Linked DNA regions of Arabidopsis thaliana. The protein of the gene in region 2 binds, or shares a complex with, the protein of the main gene of each other region. Each region holds a gene or a part of one and is shown on either strand. Other genes may lie near its edges. The genes, in order: PTAC14, MRL7, PTAC7 and PTAC12.

What was found.
Region 1: MRL7 (region 2) and PTAC14 share a complex: the UniProt entries of both Arabidopsis thaliana proteins name them as parts of the transcriptionally active chromosome (TAC) complex.
Region 3: MRL7 (region 2) and PTAC7 share a complex: the UniProt entries of both Arabidopsis thaliana proteins name them as parts of the transcriptionally active chromosome (TAC) complex.
Region 4: MRL7 (region 2) and PTAC12 share a complex: the UniProt entries of both Arabidopsis thaliana proteins name them as parts of the transcriptionally active chromosome (TAC) complex.

What each region holds. Positions count from the first base shown.
Region 1 is NC_003075.7:10,877,170-10,882,578, reverse strand, and holds PTAC14 (plastid transcriptionally active 14), read right to left. Parts: upstream 3,763-5,409; 5' UTR 3,666-3,762; coding exon 3,609-3,665; intron 3,554-3,608; exon of another isoform or gene 3,493-3,553; coding exon 3,337-3,492; intron 2,924-3,336; coding exon 2,786-2,923; intron 2,739-2,785; exon of another isoform or gene 2,704-2,738; coding exon 2,578-2,703; intron 2,494-2,577; coding exon 2,365-2,493; intron 2,265-2,364; coding exon 2,175-2,264; intron 2,087-2,174; coding exon 1,936-2,086; intron 1,830-1,935; coding exon 1,720-1,829; intron 1,645-1,719; coding exon 1,573-1,644; intron 1,480-1,572; coding exon 1,374-1,479; intron 1,290-1,373; coding exon 1,095-1,289; intron 1,004-1,094; coding exon 882-1,003; 3' UTR 527-881; downstream 1-526. Other genes in the region: VSR7 (VACUOLAR SORTING RECEPTOR 7), read right to left, coding at 4,034-4,138, 4,236-4,339, 4,425-4,553, 4,652-4,715, 4,807-4,889, 4,980-5,061, 5,219-5,379. UniProt on the Arabidopsis thaliana protein: Essential for chloroplast development, especially for thylakoid formation. Involved in plastid gene expression, probably by maintaining plastid-encoded RNA polymerase (PEP) activity.
Region 2 is NC_003075.7:14,124,694-14,128,649, reverse strand, and holds MRL7 (polyadenylate-binding protein 2-binding protein), read left to right. Parts: upstream 1-1,567; 5' UTR 1,568-1,821; coding exon 1,822-2,516; intron 2,517-2,761; coding exon 2,762-2,846; intron 2,847-2,978; coding exon 2,979-3,090; intron 3,091-3,179; coding exon 3,180-3,283; 3' UTR 3,284-3,438; downstream 3,439-3,956. Other genes in the region: MGT5 (magnesium transport 5), read right to left, coding at 3,647-3,922. UniProt on the Arabidopsis thaliana protein: Plays an essential role in early steps of chloroplast development. Involved in the regulation of plastid gene expression. May positively regulate plastid-encoded RNA polymerase (PEP) activity through binding to FSD3 and CITRX/TRXZ.
Region 3 is NC_003076.8:8,275,767-8,279,740, reverse strand, and holds PTAC7 (plastid transcriptionally active7), read right to left. Parts: upstream 2,042-3,974; 5' UTR 1,992-2,041; coding exon 1,950-1,991; intron 1,869-1,949; coding exon 1,821-1,868; intron 1,743-1,820; coding exon 1,659-1,742; intron 978-1,658; coding exon 642-977; 3' UTR 547-641; downstream 1-546. Other genes in the region: AT5G24316 (proline-rich family protein), read left to right, coding at 1-31, 129-236, 316-468; AT5G24313 (uncharacterized protein), read left to right, coding at 2,390-2,635; ABIL3 (ABL interactor-like protein 3), read right to left, coding at 3,416-3,592, 3,673-3,800, 3,884-3,974. UniProt on the Arabidopsis thaliana protein: Essential for chloroplast development, especially for thylakoid formation. Involved in plastid gene expression, probably by maintaining plastid-encoded RNA polymerase (PEP) activity.
Region 4 is NC_003071.7:14,581,280-14,586,433, forward strand, and holds PTAC12 (plastid transcriptionally active 12), read right to left. Parts: upstream 3,519-5,154; 5' UTR 3,266-3,518; intron 3,088-3,265; 5' UTR 3,067-3,087; coding exon 2,983-3,066; intron 2,866-2,982; coding exon 2,185-2,865; intron 2,095-2,184; coding exon 1,982-2,094; intron 1,908-1,981; coding exon 1,648-1,907; intron 1,566-1,647; coding exon 1,444-1,565; intron 1,368-1,443; coding exon 1,299-1,367; intron 1,205-1,298; coding exon 1,151-1,204; intron 1,061-1,150; coding exon 965-1,060; intron 887-964; coding exon 782-886; 3' UTR 556-781; downstream 1-555. Other genes in the region: GPS1 (geranyl diphosphate synthase 1), read left to right, coding at 1-98, 174-353. UniProt on the Arabidopsis thaliana protein: Involved in plastid gene expression. Acidic transcriptional coactivator necessary for the transactivation of many PIFs target genes (class B genes), particularly during the regulation of hypocotyl growth.

The DNA.
Region 1 (5,409 bases), 3.2 Mb from region 2:
CAACAACTTGTTCGATAATTGATAATCTATAATTAAAAATGTTAATATTCTACTGAACGAGATTCTAAATCCAAAAGAATGAGACAAAGGAATTATCTTCGATCCACCAAAAAGATCAAGATGCTTATTTTTTTTTATTTTTTTTTGTCTATTGTTTGGTTGATTTATACTTTAATTAATCTTAAATTCAAAGGAATAATTTCATTATGCATGGCAAGAATTATGAAACGCATAGTGGTCTTACTTCAAAAATAAAATATTCAACATATTGAAGATAATTATTAAGAATCAAGTTAGTCAATGTAAAGTATCAAATAAGTAGCCAAAGGTAAGAAATAGATTGCTTATGGTTCTGTATAACTCAGAGTAGGTTTGTTTGGTTTGGACCGTAACTTTTTTTGAAAATAGTAATGTTAGACAAAGAGTAGAAGAAACGCAATATGATTTGATTGATTAGTGTAACCACAAGGTTAATAAATAGTATAAGTAATAATCAATTATTGAGACTAATCAACATTATAGTTCGGCGTAAGAGACACAATTACCCTAAAACATTTGAGACACTAATCATGCTTAGGGACTAAAAACATGAACATGAATTAATCAAAAGAGAAAAAAAAAACACAGATGATTCCAAAGCGTTTGTTGGCTAATCAAACTCATTAAAGCAGCCAAGAAAAGAAGAGGTTATGATTTGTTTGTGATTGCGATTAAAACAAACTAACACACTTAGTCTAACTGTTCCATACAAATACATAACCTTACACTAAACAAAAAAAAAAACAGGAACCTTTCAATTACATGGTGCAGTTTCTAAGTAGCTCAAGGGAGTGAGCACCAAGTATGAATCTCACTCAGCTCATAATTATTTTTTGCTTGAATCAATAGAGTAACCGTTCTTGATAGATGTCAAGTGCCTTGATAATTTTTCCGATGAACATCTTTCTGTGCATTCTATACTTAACCGCTGTTGCAAATGTTGTCCTTGCTTCTGACATTGAATCTGTCACAACAACAAGAGGGAAAGCTTAAGTTTTAGTATATGAGCGATAATAGATAATAACACATTGGTGTATATATCTTTAGTGTAATACCTAGCAACTTCTGGTCTTGCTCTGCTGTTGTGGGATATTCCGCAAGCATCTTTCGACATTCATCTTGCAATTCTTTAACTGCTTTTCTTTCCGCACTCGGTATTGGAGGAAGATCTATGTCTGACCAAGTAGGTAATGTTCTTGCTGCAGCGATAACTGCTCCATCAACAAAAGTATCGCCCCTCGATAACTCGCCTGCCACAGATTTAGGTAACATTGGTGCTCATTTCTCCATCTTTTGTCAAGGAATAGAGAGGAAACAGAAGAAAAGGAACTTACTGTCATGGTAATATTCTTCAGGAAGACCATAAATATTGAAGACCGATAAAAAGGAATTTAAATGGATGCGAGAATCTCCAGAGAACTTTATAGCATCCCACGGATTCTGCAGCAGACCAGAAAAACTGAATAAACGAGAAAACTTGCAAAGGAAACATAGTTTGTGTAAGATGAATGTGATTGTCGTAAAAAGCATTACCACAGGAGTTGAGAAGCCGTATCTTTCCATAAGCATGTTGTTTTTCTGGCCTGGCATGTAATTAATCGTCATCTGTGAAAAGCATTATAAGAAGATAGATAAAGCAGTGAAGTGAGGCTGACACTTAGGAACATTTGAGTCTCTTACCTCTTCGCCTTTCTTAATGTCTTGACCAGCATTTGACATAACCTCCAGCATGCGATCTTTAGGACGCCAATGTAGGAAACAGTTTGGTTCAAATGAGTGGTTTAGCATGTCTGCAGAGAATGATCAATCGTGAGATTCTTATTTAGTTCCTCAACAAAAAGTTCATTGATACTAAATCTTAATTTATCAATAACTACACAACATGCTCTTCCTTACCAGCATAAGGAATCATCATATTTAATTCCTGAACCAAAGCACCGACCCTAGTTTGCATACTGATGCATCGTGTCTGTGCCATACTAACCGCCCATATGAATCTTTCTGGATCCTCGGCAAGCCTTTTGATTTTGAGAGGAACACCTGAATGCTGAGACGGAATACAATTTGCCAATGAAAAACAAAGCAATAACCAAATGTCAAGATATACTGGAAACACATATATAAGGCCTCATTACCCAATTCTTTTCCCAAAAATCTAGGATTCGTTTCTGTTGTTGTCTGATAGTTGAAACAAGATCAGGATCTTGAAGCTCCGCAAGGTCTTCCTATAGAAAAACACACAGAATTAGATATCATCAAGCATTAGTTTAAAGACACAAGTAAATGTGACCAGTTTCAAATGGCAATCATATCAATTCAATCCACCTCTGTAGCTAAAAGCAAGCTGCTGCACTCATCAGCAGCCGGCAGGAAATCGCCATAGAGCCGCCAGAAGTGATCATCTCGATCAAAAGAGAATAACAGAAGACACGCTAATCTGATATCCCAATCAATCTGTAAGCACAAATGTGAAAGGACTTTGAGAAAGATAAGAACTTTCGAGTTGATGATATCGAAATAGCACAAATGTGTTACTACCTCAGGATCAGTCGAGTTAATGATATCGAAAATAGGATGACCAATTGGTACAATATCAGGGAAAAACATCCAAGGGTGCTTCTGTCTAATGGTTATCATCAGTTCAAGAGGAATCTCCATAATCACCTGCAGAGAGAAAAGAAAACAAAATAATCTAAAGAGAAGAACAAAACAAAAAGTTGTCAACTTTTTAACTAAGAAGACTGACTCTAGCTCGACGGCGAGGTTCGATATCCTTAGAAGCATAGACACCAAAACCATCTGGACCTTCTTTAAACTCAACTCCATAAGCTCTCACACTTCGAACATAGCCAATTTTGTAGAAATCCGGATCTGCTGTCTCCAGCTAGTGAAGAAACAAAAGACAAAAACCCTAAATCAATCTCACATATGAGGGAAATGCACAGAATTGTCTAAAGTTACTGCCGTTAGAACTCATTTGTACCCTACATCAATCTCACAGATGAGGGCAATGCACAAGATTGTCTAAAGTTTCTGCCTTAAGAAGTCCCCTATATCAATCTCACAGATGGAGGCAATGCACAGAATTGTCTAAAGTTACTGCCTTAAGAACTCATATGTACCCTAAATCAATATCACATATGGGGGCAATGAACAGAATTGTCTAAAGGTACTACCTTTAGAACTCATTTGTACTCTAAATCAATCTCCCAGATAGGGGCAATGCAAAGAATTGTCAAAGGTACTGCCTTTTAGAACTCTATAAACCCTAAAACACTCAAAACTGAAAATCCTAACCTCGGACGAGGAAGATTCTTCGGAAGCAGGAGATTGAAACAGAGGGAAAGGTTGTGTCTCAATAGACGCAACTTTGATGGGTCGTACACCATTTTGTCTGTCTCTTAATAAATTGCTTCTGGGTCTTGGTGCTGACACAATTCCGTTGCAGAAACCCTTTGTCCGACCGGAAAAAACATGAGGAGTACTCAGAAAATTCAGACAAAGACAGACACACACACACACACATGACATAGAAACATTAGGTGATACAGAGAGATAAGATTAAGAACCTGAGGTTTGGAGATAAAGGTGTTGGTCAGGAACTGAAGAGAGACTGAAGAAGCCATTCCTCAACAGAAGAAAATGGGTTTAGCAGAGGGAGACGAAGATCGTTATCCTTTGTTTTCAAGATTTTAACTCTTAGTTTACGATATAATTTATTTGGAATAATATGTTGCAAGAAGCTTTCATAGCTCAGTTGGTTAGAGCACCCGTTTAGTAAGCGGGAGGTCTTGAGTTCAACTCTCAATGAAAGCAATATTTGTTTTATTTTCTTCAAAAGTCTCTTTACATCCAAATTATTTATTTTTTTGCCATGAAAATATACACAACTCTATCTCACTCTTTTATTTTTACAGTATAATTCATATGTACATTAATTGATCTCAAACATTTCTTTGTGTATGACAGTTTTGGTTACTTTGGTCATATACTATTAGAGTGTAAAAGGCTCGGCTTCTGATGGAACTTCACGAGCTCTTTGGCTCTCAAGTGGCATATACTGTGACATGATCGTCATAATCTCTGAGTCCATGTAAGACTGTTAATAGGAACACCAAAGAAAAGTTAGTTTGGTAATCCTAAAACCGTTATTAAGTACAAAAATGCTTTTGTGGAATCAGAAAGAGTAGTAGTACCCTGAACCGGTATTTGTAGAATATATAACCAGCTAAACCGGCTACTGCAACGATAGCCAGTATCAAGAATGTGAGCCACCATGCCGTTTTGGATCCATATCTCTCTGTAACAAACAATCATCAATGTATATTAATTAGATACTGTTATGGAATTTGAGTACTCTTAAATCTTGATTGATAAAATTTTACCTATACAAGTATCTTGATCGTTTATGTAAAGCCGGTCACCAGAACAGCTGCATTTGTATCCACCCCATGAGTTCTTGCATCTGCAACCGCTACATTGACATACCGAACGCTCTTTACATTCGTTAATATCTGCAATAGAGCCAAATCAGAAAACATAATTACATTGTTGGTAATATGATTATGTGGTTTCTTTCGAGATTTTAATCGATAAGTTAAGAGTTATGTACCTTCACACGTCAAACCGTCGCCTTGGAAACCTTCAGGACATTTGCAGCCAGTAGATACAGAGTCCTAATTTTTCATAAATAACAAAGAGATGATTGAACTGAAAACAAGAACTTTGTAAGGGAGGGTTTGGCTTATGACAAGAGAATCACTAAACTGAGCAAGCAGAGAAAGTTAAGCCGTTCCTTGTGTCAGACCAGCAACCTCCATTGTTCATAGTACACCTCGCAGGCCCATAAGCTGCAAAGCTCAATCACAAACCAGAGACTATTCAAGAAACCGGTCTCAACATTTGAGAGCTATGTTGTGTGAAATGTGTGAACAACTTACGTGTACATGAAGTGTACCCGTCTCCTTTATATTGAACACCTTTTACAACCGGACACTCGCAGAGTCTTCCTCTGAATGTGTCCTGATCAAACAAAAAAGATTCAAGTATTATAGGACTAGAAAATATCTCTCTAGATTTTCACATTTTCTCTAGTTTTCAAAACAATTCCAAACAAATTGATACTGATATTCAATATAGTGGTGAGATGTGATGTGGTAAGCTCGGTTTTACGACATACTTGACAAGCAGTGATGTTTGCTTTTGTATCCTGCCAGCAACCACCATTGTTTTCAAGGCACTCATTTGTCTCTAGACCTGTGTTTAAGCAAATGGCAGGCTCCGATGTTTCATTAAAACCAGCGCATATCGCCTTTAAAACCGCGGTTCTCTCCAATCTCCCTTCACAATTGCAACCAATAACAACAGAAA
Region 2 (3,956 bases):
ATCAACTTCCAAATTTGAAGTTTAATATATGGTTAATTACATCATTTAGATATATTTATCAAAAACATCTCATCCATACTTAGTAAGTTAATATTCATATCAATCTTTAATATATATTATGAATATATGTCATAATAACATGGCAGACGTGAGACGACCAATAATAAAAATAACTTAATGCCAAAACAAATTTATATGATGAGATTTATGAGTAGACTCGTTAAAATATTCCTCAGTGAAAAAGTATTGCATACCTCAATGAAATTGGTGTGAGGTCCATAAAAGAGAGTTCAAGAAAGAAAGTACACATATTTACATTTTGAGTCATCGAAGTTCCATTTTACAAATATTAATACGTCACTGAAAAATGAAAATACCTACAAGAAGATATATGTGTACTGTGTAACTGTAACAGATTGGGTGTAAGAAATCGAGAATTCTTTTACTTCTTATTAATAAAGAAGATAAAAACACATGCTTTTATGCAAACTATATAAAAGAAACACAAAACAAAATTACATTCACACATGGAACCAACTATACAATAAAACATTGCAGTTTTCAATGGGCCACGAGTCTTAATGCATGTGAAACCAGTGATCAGTGACCACGTGTTAGGCTTTAATTTGTGAATTCCATATGATCCAACAATTTAACAATATCATCTATTCTAACTTGTATAAATTTATTTCGTCTAAACTGAGCCTTCTTAACCCCAAAGATTTGGCAATCGAGTTTATGAACTCCGATTTTATCTTACTCACACATTCTAAACTATAGGAAGAATTTCTTTATATCTTCCACCCATTGACAAAGATCGTACTATGTAATAAATTAGACCGCAAACAATTAACTTTATAAGAATATACCTTGGATAAAAATAAAAACAATAAGAGAACAATGTCAAAAACAATCACTAAAAACTTTTCTTTTATTTCACAAAACAAAAACTTTTCTTGAAGGTAAGTGAAAAATATTTAATTGATTGTAGAAAAGACGTTGTTCTTTTTGTTTACGGGTTTCGGGCTACACCGTCGTCACCTGAGGCGGTCTATATGTTTGTGTCTTCGAGGCTGTCATGATACTAAAAGATTAGAAATAGAATCGAAAAATTCACTTTGTAGAAAAGTTATATATTAGCTCGAAACAAAACAGTTAGACAATAGACGTACCTCGAATTAATACGTCATCCTTATTAGATTCTTTTTCTTGTGTGTGCGAAACCTTATTAGGTTCTTCACACCGTTTTTCACAAAGGTAACGTAAGAGACGACAAATCAACACGGCACAGAACACCAACAAAAACACAATGCATCCCAAAATAATCTTCTCCATATCGTGTCTGCTTCTTCTTCTTGCATACAAATTATATTTAAACACTAGTATGTGTACTGTTAACGAGTTTACATTTTGAGGTCAGAAAATATTCCATTTTAGGATCTTATGACTATGTAAAGTTTACATATTTTATCAATGTTTCTAATTTGTGATCACATTATGGATATTGTGATCACATAACGAAATGGGAAAATGCCAAAAAAAGAACATATCCAACTTTAAAATTTGCCAAAAATATTTCAAATTTTTCATTAACGGAGGCGAGGAGCTAGGTATATGAAATTATGAATATTTCAAACGACGCTGTTTCGATTATATAAACTAAACCAAGTATCGGGAAAGATAACCGATCCAAATCAAGGACAGTAACACAAACCGAAATAATCCAAACCGGGATTATACAGACAAAGTGGATTATAAGAGCAAAAACTCAGTTACCAAAAATTTCTGCGAATTTCGTTTTGAATTTAGGAAACGAGAGAAATGAGTTTCTTCGCTGTTGCTTGCTCCGCGCCAAGATCTTCTATGCTTCTCACCGGCTTGAATTCGAGCTTCTCTGATATGCATCGCAGCCCACTATTTGTTTTCCCGGTGACTATATCATCCCGGAGCGTGAAACGCTTCGCCGCTGTTTCGTCTGATTCCGTACTAGACCCTGAATCCAAAAATCAAACTCGGTCCCGTCGCAAAAATAAGGAAGCAGTTACGCCAATTGCTGAAACCGAGAACAATGAAAAGTTTCCGACAAAGGTCCCGCGTAAATCGAAGCGTGGGCGGCGGAGTGAAGCAGACGCTGTGGAAGATTACGTGAGAAGCTCCCTCGAGCGTACTTTCTCCACCATAAAGGAGCAGAATCCGGAGGTTTTTGAGAACAAGGAGAAGGCGAATTTCATCAAAGACAGAGGCGTTGATGAAGAAGAGGAAGAAGAAGAAGAGATGGTGGTGGAAGAGGAAGATCCAGATTGGCCAGTAGATACAGACGTTGGATGGGGAATCAAAGCTTCGGAGTATTTCGATACACATCCAATCAAAAACGTGGTTGGAGATGATGGGAGTGAGATTGATTGGGAAGGTGAGATTGATGATAGTTGGGTCAAGGAGATCAATTGTTTGGAATGGGAAAGCTTTGCTTTTCATCCTAGTCCACTCGTTGTCCTTGTATTCGAGCGATACAAAAGGTATAAGCTTTGTTATTTCATTGACGAATTTTCACAAACACTTGGTGTGCATAGTAGAACTATGAAAGCTTTGTTCTTTTTCCTTCACAACATTATCTAGACTATGATTACAAGTTGAAAGAGCCATTTGAGTTAGATTCCATGATCAATTAACTGCAATGAGTATAAAAACTGAAACTTGTTCTTAGAGTGACCAAAATCTACTACTGTTGGAATAATTTTTTGAGTTGTTGTGCGTTTTATAGAGCTAGTGATAACTGGAAGACATTGAAGGAGCTTGAGAAAGCTATCAAAGTTTATTGGGATGCGAAAGATCGATTACCTCCACGGGTATGTCGAAAGCCTTCTCTAGTTGCAGTTTTAACTTGAACATTACTCTTTGTGTACTAATCTCTCTTGGTGTGATTACATGTTAATGTGGCTGCTCTCTGTTAACAAGAATCACCATGTTTTATGAAACAGGCGGTTAAGATTGACCTGAACATCGAGACAGATTTGGCATATGCTCTTAAAGCTAAGGAATGCCCACAGATTCTCTTCTTACGCGGAAACCGGATTCTGTACAGGGAGAAAGGTGATAAGCTATGTTGCTAACGTTGTTTTCATGTTTTTTTGCAATATGTGTGAGCAATAGATTATCATAGCGTATTGAACTTGATGCAGACTTTCGCACGGCGGATGAATTGGTTCATATGATTGCGCATTTCTACTATAAAGCGAAGAGGCCTTCGTGTGTCGACAAGGCTAATGTAACCCCGTACTGTTAGTTTGTAACGGGCATAGAGTAGTTTCACTCAAAAGGTCAGTCTAGGAAAATTTACATAAACTTCACTCATAGATTGTTAACATTTTTGTATGTTCTATGCAAATATAAACTTGTTCCCAAGTAATGGATTTTACTCGTCAATCTGTGCTTTCCCTAACACGTTGATTCGTAACCAATGATGCATACATATATCAAGAAGCCAGCTCCTTTTATAGAAAAATTGTTTGAAGGATAAACTATTAATGCAAAAATCCATAACATAAAAACAAAAGCATTGAATCAATAAGAAAAAGCAAACTAAAAAAAAAATGAATTCCACAAAGCTAATCTCATAATGACTAAACCTAATGTGTTTAGTCTCTTATCAGTCAAGTAGCTTCTTCCACTTGGCGTAACCAACGGTGACTATGAAAAGCACAATGCAAAGCGCAACGACAGCCCACACAACGTAACCAAAGATGTCAGGTGTGCTATACAATCCAATTGGTATATTCATACCGAACAAGTTGACCACCACTGTCCCTGCAGTTATTGCATAATTGCCTATATTCACAAGCATCATTAGGTGGATCAGTCCGTTACGTCTACTATTCTGTAGTATCTTCACGTAGGCTTCTGTGCTGTCAATATGCTCCTTCATCTGCAATTCAAAAAAATATTAAATTACCAAGGAC
Region 3 (3,974 bases), on a different chromosome or scaffold from region 2:
GACTTTGCATCATGACAACATCAACCGCAAGGTATTAACAATCACGGTTCTAAAAGCGTTATATATTTGATTACAAATATGCATCAAAACTAAAAACAAAAAGATATAAAACTTGTTGATTTAAAAAGGTTAAAGAGATGGTCATGAATGGAAGAAGAATCGATCTGGAGATGGACTACGCTGGGCCGCATCTAAGACCTCCCAAGCCATCCGACCCTACAATTCCAGGAACACAAGTACGTGCCCTATAGCAAAAATGAAGTATTACGAAAAGTGTCTTCCTTTTTTAATAGTGTATGAGTTTGGTTTTGAAAGGTTGATGAGGTTGTGACAAAGGAACCAACTGTCTATAACAAAGAAGACTATGGGGACTGGTCTCCAAGACCAATCCCAAAACGACCAATGCCATATGTACCTCCTCCTCCTCCTCCACCGACACGACGACCTCCTTTCACCACAAATCACTAGACCGTTACTTTTACTAAACTCTTGTCATTAGACTTTCGTCTTCATCTAGTAAATCTAAATAAATAAAATGAAATTTGGCCAAGAAAACAACAAAGCTGTGAATGCATTGATTTGGTTTTGGTAATACAAGAACAAAAGCTGTAAAGTACATTGACACTTTTTGTTATAATATATCAAGTGTAGTACTCCAACAAATAGCCAGGACCGGGTTTGTAAGGATCAGCTTCTACATAAGCCTCAGGGCGATCAAAGCCGAGATCGTTCACACGGTTGCTTAGAACATGAAAGATGGCTTTTTTGGAACCTCCATATTCGTCTCTGTTCTTGTCCACGTACTCTGTTGCTTCAGCTGCTACGCTATTGACAAATTCAAACCGATTGTCTTCCCTCAAAAGAAGCTGCTCTATGTCCATTGTCATTACCTTCCCAACTTCTCTTATCTTCCTTACTTGTTCTTCCACAAATGGAACTCTTTGCATTTTGTAACGCAACATATCGTCCTTCTTCGTCTACAGACAAAACAGGAGAACGACATAGAGAGATTAAAAGCGGGACAAATATAAACAAAGATTTTGCATTGTTCTGGCTTTGGTAATTATTGAAATCTCAAAACCTCATGAACCTGATAGGATCAAACAACAGAAACTGATAGTTTGTAGAATATAGTACAAGTAAAAAGATCACACTAATATTTTATGTAATGTGTAACTCCCACCTAAAAATCCCAGTATCTCAGATAAGACAATCTCCAATTTCTTGCATGTGCCATAGAGATAAGACCATGGTTACTTGAATATATATAAGTAAACACTAACTAGAGGTAAAAAGCCATGTTTCTTTAAGTTCATCAACAGTATAAGAACTAAAGCTAGCGTCTGAAATGAGCATAGTTCAACAAAGACACTTTTGAAACAGGTGTGTAAGCTAATTTGGAATCAAGAAGGGTAAACTAGAAATCGCAAAAACTCAGAGAAGACAATCTCCATCTCTCCTTCTATGCATCATATCAATTACTATGACTAAGTAAAGACTAACTAGAGTTAATAGTCATGCCTCATCAGTGAGTTAAAGCTAATCTGTGATCCTACTAAAAATTGCAACTTTTTAGAAATGTCGTCTCCAAGCAAAGAAAAACCCTTATTTTGATTCCTGATTCGACTTATGTCATAAACATGAAACTGGAAAATCACCAAAATATCAAGTTTAGTACTTACCAATGTTCTCCTCCGCCAAACACGGCGTCCATTATCATCTCTCTGAATCCCACAAGAAACCTGAAAAAATCAACCAGATTCACTCAAAACTCTCCCCCAAAAACCCACAAATTCGTATATATATCAACCATTCAAAACCTGAGACTGAAATGTGCATCGCAAATTCCCACTTCTCGTATCAATAATCTGAATATACAATAATTGAAAATGAGAAATCACATTGACATCAAAGGATGATTATGAGAGAAGCAAAGGAGGGATTTTTACAGGTAAAATCGAAGATGGAGAAGAACAGGTGAAGGAAGCCATTGATACACAGTGAATAGATAGAACCGGATCCTATTTTATATGTAAGCTTCTCCGGTTCGGTTTAATGGTTTATCTTTGGTTGTGTTCGTATTTGGACAAATCATTCCTAACCGAACCGGGCATTTTTTTTTCTCGTCATTTTATCTATACAATAATAATTCAACTTGCACAAAAAAAAAATCTAAAACAAATCAAAACTAACAACAAATCTAAAATCATATAATTTTACTTGGTACACAAAAATAATATTTTTCAGAAATCAATCAATCTAATAATAGTTAGTGGGAACCCTCTATTGTGACTTTGTGAGCTATGTATATACATAAGACATTACAAGATGGAACCTCAACATAGTTGATAAGCAAAGAAATTAACTCTATCGATCACCGGATGAGAAAATGGCTTCTAGGAATCATCTCTTAATATGTTGTGTTCTCTTAGCTATGATCATGATCGGGCATGCTCAAACCAACCGGAAACTTCTTGACGATAATGTACCATCATCTTATTTTCCATCGATGGAGTCTCGTCAGGTTTTTCTTCCTTCTTCTCATCGTTCACTTGTTGCTGAGCATTACGACAGATCACCACCTCCACCACCACCCAAAAGATCAGAAGTTGAACCCCAAACTGATGGTGTCTAGACCATTGAGTGATGGTGAGAATCGGCCCTGATGAAAAGACTCGTGAGTTGGTACCATGTTTTGAAAGAGCATACATATGTTTTGATGTTTGGTTTTATGATCCGGTTTATAAGAGCTACCTAATTTTTGAAGGCTTGGTTTGATTTAGTTTTCTTTGCTTTCTAAAGTAAAATCTCCGGAAAAGTTGTCTCTGTTTTTTTCTTCTTTATTTTTATCTGTATACGTGTACTTCATTCTTGGTGACAATAAATTTGACTTGTTTCAAATTAATTAATGTAATATTTGTAAATGGTAAGTTAATACAACAGAAAAGTCGATGATACTATCTTTTTGAATAGGTAGATTTACCGAACGAATACCACATTACCACGGCTTAAAAAAAAAAAAAGAAAAAAGGGAGGATTAGTCTCAAACATTCTTAATCAATTTCAAAAACTGGATAAATAAAAGCAAAAGTTTCAAAAACATAATTATTCTTGCAACAGTAATTGATGCAAAATATATATTAAACTGTCAAATAATATTTCGAGAACGAAATTGTATATATAAACTTGCTGTTAATTTGGTTAAAATCGGCAGTAAAATAATTCACAGCAAGTTTTACTACGCTTGTAAACAAAACTGCATTCACACTCTGACAGTCATAAGGTATACACAAAATCATAGAATCATGGACATATTTTGTAACACATATATTGACAATTTGACATTACGTAAATGCAATTAAAACTGGAATGTAATTTCCGGTTTACCAGTCAACATACAAAACCAGCTTTCGGTTTAATATTCGTCCAAATAAGTGTAGAGCGTATCGTCCTTCTTTGTTTTGCGTCGGCTAAGTAGCGCCTTTAGCAGCCGTTTGCTCTTGCTCGGTTGTTGTTGATGCTCTGGTTCTTTCTGAGCTTCTTTCTCGAACGCAACCCGAACCGAAGCCGATCTTCTTGGTTCTGACGGATACTGAGCCAGAAAATATCAAGAATCAACCGTTAGAGATAGAGCCTAGAAGTGAGTGTTTTTGAAATGTAACCGAAGCTTACCCGTTTAGGAGTTGGAGTTACCGCTCTACTCTTGCTCGGGGTTGTTGGCCGGCTGATTGATGACGGTCGGATAGCAACCGAACCAGATCTTAGCAGCGGAAACCGATGTGGTGATACTGCTCGCTTATCTATTTTACCATGCACACTGTTTAAAGGTTCTGTTTACATATTAAGCCAAAAACGGCAATTTCAAGGTGAAGCTGTCTTTTACCTTGTTCTTTCTTTGGTGCGGTGGCGATAGAGGAGAACGAAAAGGTTGCTGAACGTTGAGGTTTCCGTTGAGAGGGAGACTGAAGTATCGG
Region 4 (5,154 bases), on a different chromosome or scaffold from region 2:
GAGTCATAACAGCCCCAATCCTCTTTGCCATGGAAGAGTTTCCTCAACTACGCGAAGTTGTTGATCAAGTTGAAAAAGATCCTAGGAATGTTGACATTGTAAGTTTGAAAGAAACAAATCTCCTAAAATCTATAATATGTTTTCATAGTCTCTAATACTATTATATCACACAGGCTTTAGAGTATCTTGGGAAGAGCAAGGGAATACAGAGGGCAAGAGAATTAGCCATGGAACATGCGAATCTAGCAGCAGCTGCAATCGGGTCTCTACCTGAAACAGACAATGAAGATGTCAAAAGATCGAGGCGGGCACTTATTGACTTGACCCATAGAGTCATCACCAGAAACAAGTGAGATTAAGTAATGTTTCTCTCTATACACCAAAACATTCCTCATTTCATTTGTAGGATTTTGTTGGTCCAATTCGTTTCACGAAACAATAATGTTTGACAAGCTGTGGCTTTGGTTTTAAACTACACATGACAAAAAAAGGAGACAGATACTAATTGTGAAATCATATTCCTTGCGAATTCGGTTTAGGTCTTGTTTTAACAGATTAAACCGTCTCAAGCTGAACTAAACAGGATGCAGTACAGTTAACAAATCACTTTCAAAACTCTATAAATTCAATCAAAAATATTTGAATTCCATATGATACAAATCACTTGCAAAACTCAAATCCACTCCTAAATGATATCATCCCTTCCAAGTATACAAGCAAAACCAGTGAAGAAAAAGTTGCCCTAAATAACGTCTTTACATAAGAAATACGAAAACCAGGTTTAAGGATCAGTCTCCTCTTCAAAGTCCATGAGAAAATCAGTTAAGTTCTCAGCATCATCCACGGCCTCGTCTAGAGACATCCGACCTTCCTTCTTTGGTTTAGGCTGTTTAAGAAACCAAGCTCATAACATCAACACACCACACAAGACATATAATGTGGCTCAAGTTGAATGTGACTTTACCTTGGCGGTGCGAAGCTCAGGGGTTTCCTTCAAGACACTCCAGTTCCTCGGCACTTTCTCGTCGTCTTTTTCTACATCTGCATCGTCTTCGTCGTCCTGTCAAAAAATGTCCGGAGATGTTTCAGAGCATGATACATCAAGAAACAATAAAGAAGAAGAGGATCTGATGTAATCGATGATACTCACATCGTTTTCACCAATATCAACAGCTTGTGCCATTGCATCATCCATGTCAGGTACCTGCATTCATACAATTTATCGAACATATCAAGCGAAACCCTGAAATCTCACAATCAGAGTTGTGTCAAAGGAAATGAAAGATTGGTCACTTTACCTCGAGCTGCTCGGTTTTCTCTTTTGTCAGTAGTGCTTCATGCATCTCTCTTGAGATGACTTTGCCATTCTGATCAAATCAGAAACAAAGAAAACAATCAGACCAAGAAAGAAAAAGAATAGAACTTTGAGCAAAGCAGACTAACCTCCTTTAGATAAGAGAGCATATTTGGTGTAGGCTCATGAAAATCAGGTCCTCTGAAATCCATAACCGCATTAGGATCTTGAATGTAGTTAATTGTCGGGTAAACTGGATCCCCGCCCCAAACTGCAAGAAACCGAGAATGTTAGTCGAACGATTGAATATCCATGATGAGTTAGTTCAAACTTCAACGGTCAAAGTTTCTTACTTTGCTTAATTTGATCCTCCCTCATCCGCATTGCCAATGGATCTCTCTTGATCCTAATATCAGTTCCCATCATTATCCGGTATTCTCTATCTGTTTGATGAGAGAACATCTCAATCAGTTGTGTGTTTTCATCTTCACCTGTCTCTTCAAAATGTTTTTGTACAGCTTCTCTTGACGTGTCTCTCTTCCATGCTTTAACCCATTCAGAATAAAAAGCCATTGGACCTTCTTTCGCTAATCTCTCTCGCTCAGCTTGCAGCCTGAGAGAAAGAAAACTCGAAAGAAAATCCTAATAAAACAGATTTTCACTTGAAAGTTCGTTAGATCAATATACCTCTCTTCCTTGAAAAGATGCCTTCTTGCTCTATAAAGAGAAGTTTCTGTGAGTGTTGGTTCTTCCCCATAGAGCTTCACTTGTCCTGTTTCTGCCATTGCCTTGAGGAAAACCTGCATCAACAACAAAAAAAAATACCATAATGGATCAAACATTGGGGAAACACACACATGTTTAAACCTGAAATCATTGTGATGACTAACCGTTTCAACATCAGGACGTCTTCTTTGCCATCTTGACCATTGTTCTTTCTCCGGTTTCCTCCAGTTCCACCACGATTCATCGCTCGTGAGTGTCTTTTCAATTTGTTTCTTTTTCGTAGGATCAATGAAAGGATGTGGCCTTCCAAGCTTTTTGTCTAATTCAAAACCAGTCTCCTCTTCTTCTCTCTCAAATTCATTCTTATAGGTAACAAACCCATCCGAGGAATCATTTTCCTCTTCTTCAGAGCTATCCTCAGAATCGGATACTTCGTCATTCGTTTCAACAGTCACATTCTCCTCAGTAGCTTTCCTATTCTTCTTTCTCCTACTTCCAGGATTCTTTCCATAGGAAGGAAAACTCGAAGACTCACCAGCTGGTTGAGGAGCTCTAGCAGCTCTAACCCGGCTCGAAGTTCCTTCAGGCCAATAATCCTCACCTGGAATACTAGCCCGAGCCCCGGACGCTGGCTCAAGCTTCCCAGAAGTTGAATCCATATAACTATGGTAAGGATGCCTCTCAACAGTCACATACTCAAATCCTTCTTCACTCTTCTTAGACCCTTCACTTACATCACCATCTCCATCCTCTTTCTTGCATTTGATACAATGTCGCAAAGACCGATCCCTAGAAGTAATCCCAGCATGCAATGTCTTGAGTGGAAACCCACATTTAACCCGTCTCTACATACATAAACAAACTTTTACCAGTTTGACATCTTGAAACAAGCTAAAATGTTCACTATCTCTAAATTAGATAAGTTTGGATCAGAACAAGAAACTTGATGTGTAAGAACCAACCTGCACAATACAATTACTGGACTTTCCACTGTCTGTGCATACTTGACCTCGGTAGAGCCAGGTGGTGGTTGATATTGACGCCATTTACACTCTTTCTACTTCTCACTGTATCATTTACAAAAACAACCGATTCAATTATGCTCAGAATCAGTTTCAAACTAGTACAAAACATAAAACCCAGATAAGAAGAACCTGATACAACAAATTGTCCATAACAAGGTACGATTTTTTTGGGCATTTTTACAAACGCTTCACACTCGAAGTTGAGGAGAAAAAGACTAACCTTTTTGTTTTACCAGGAGATTATGTAGGAAGAGGGTTTTCTATCATGGAGCTTGATTTTGAAGGGGGTTTTGGCTTCAAAAGGTTTTCACTTGTCAGTTTTTGGGTTTATCCATTTATCTCCTCCTGCGTTTATTAACATATTCTGGTGACGGCAAAATCTCTAGATTTCACGACGCGCCGGTATTAGAACGGGAATTTGTGAAGAGAAAGTATATGGGCTTGGTATATCTAACTAAGGCCCAGTATTAATGGATCTTTGAGAAATTGTGAGCTTGAAGTCTCTCTTGGGCTTTAACAAACACTTCCAAGAAGAACAAAACATCTTTTTCTTTTTTGGCAAAACATCTTCTAAACAGTTTATTATATTGATATACTTTCAAATAAAATCAATATGTGATTTGATCATTTAAAACATGCCTTAACACAAAAGATATATGGAAGAATGTTTATCGAAGTATGCATGTGAACACATCTTAGTTTTGTTAATAGATTTGCAATTTACAATTGCGATTATACAATTTTTAGATAGTTCTCTCCGTAATGGATTAATATAGTGGACTAGAGGAACATGTTACACAAAAAACATCAATCATTGTACCTTTAAGTGAATAAATACTTGTATATGATTTGTACTTCAGCGTGTGTACGTACTTGTCTAAGACACTATAGAAGGAAGAAGGTTTGGACCCAACGTGAATGGCAATTGGCTAATGTGCTAATATGGTCTGAACCAATATTAAATGGGTCTGACCAGACACATCATAGACATTACGGTATCTATCACAGGCCTATTTTAACCTAATATCCTACACTTTTTATACATTAATACTACTATTGCTTACTTCAAACTTGCTAAACGACGATAATATTTATTTCTAGGGACCAAACATATAATTGTTTTTTTGGTTTTCTGAAATTTGGCAGACGTAGACCACGTAAGACTATACCACAAAGGTCTGACTAGGCACAAGTTTCGCTGACCCGCACGCGCCTAACGTCACCTTTTGAACTATTCGTGCAACGAGCGAGACTATCCATGCGGCGTCGTTTTTTCCCAACTTCCTCTTCCTCTCGTATTGTCAAACGGTCAAACCTATACTCCTACATAAGAAAAAAAGAATCAGCAGCATATAATAGCAACATTTGAAACTTCATAAGCATATATAAAGCTAGAGATGCAAACTAAAGACAAACAATATAGCAGTTTCGAATTATATAATAGATACAATAAATAAAAAAATAAAAAAAGAATAACAACCTTTTATCAAAAATAATACTGTAATAATAATAATTTGGATACTATTACTATCTTTTCGAGTTTGCTATTTTACATAAAACAATATGTCAGGGAAAAGAATCTCAAAGCACTAAAAAAAACTGTAATTTGATGCTTTTGGTGACCGTTAATAAATGAGTGGCTAATTGGAAATCTCGTCAAACTTTTTCTGCGACATAATTCACTTCCACAAGTAATTGGAACAGAATCTCACAAGTGGCGACGTGTACTTACCTCCACATGGCACCTATCCGTTCGCTAAAAATATACTCCATGTATAGATGTGTGTAATATTACATGTGTATAAAAGCGACGACGAGGATAATCACCTCGATGAGTATTTGAGTAGATGTGGACTTGTCATGAACATTTTAGCAGAGAGACAATGCATGCATACAAACAGAGAACTAACAAATTTCTTTAGTTTTTTACCATTCGTAACTTAAAAAGTTTATTCTTTATTTACTTGTAATACACTTTTGTTAAATGTTACATAGAATAATCTCCGATTTATACATTATTTGATCAGTGATCATAGTTACTAGTATCTATTAGTTTATGGTATGTTTTGCCACTGTTGTTCAACAATGTTGCAATTCTTACAAAATTCT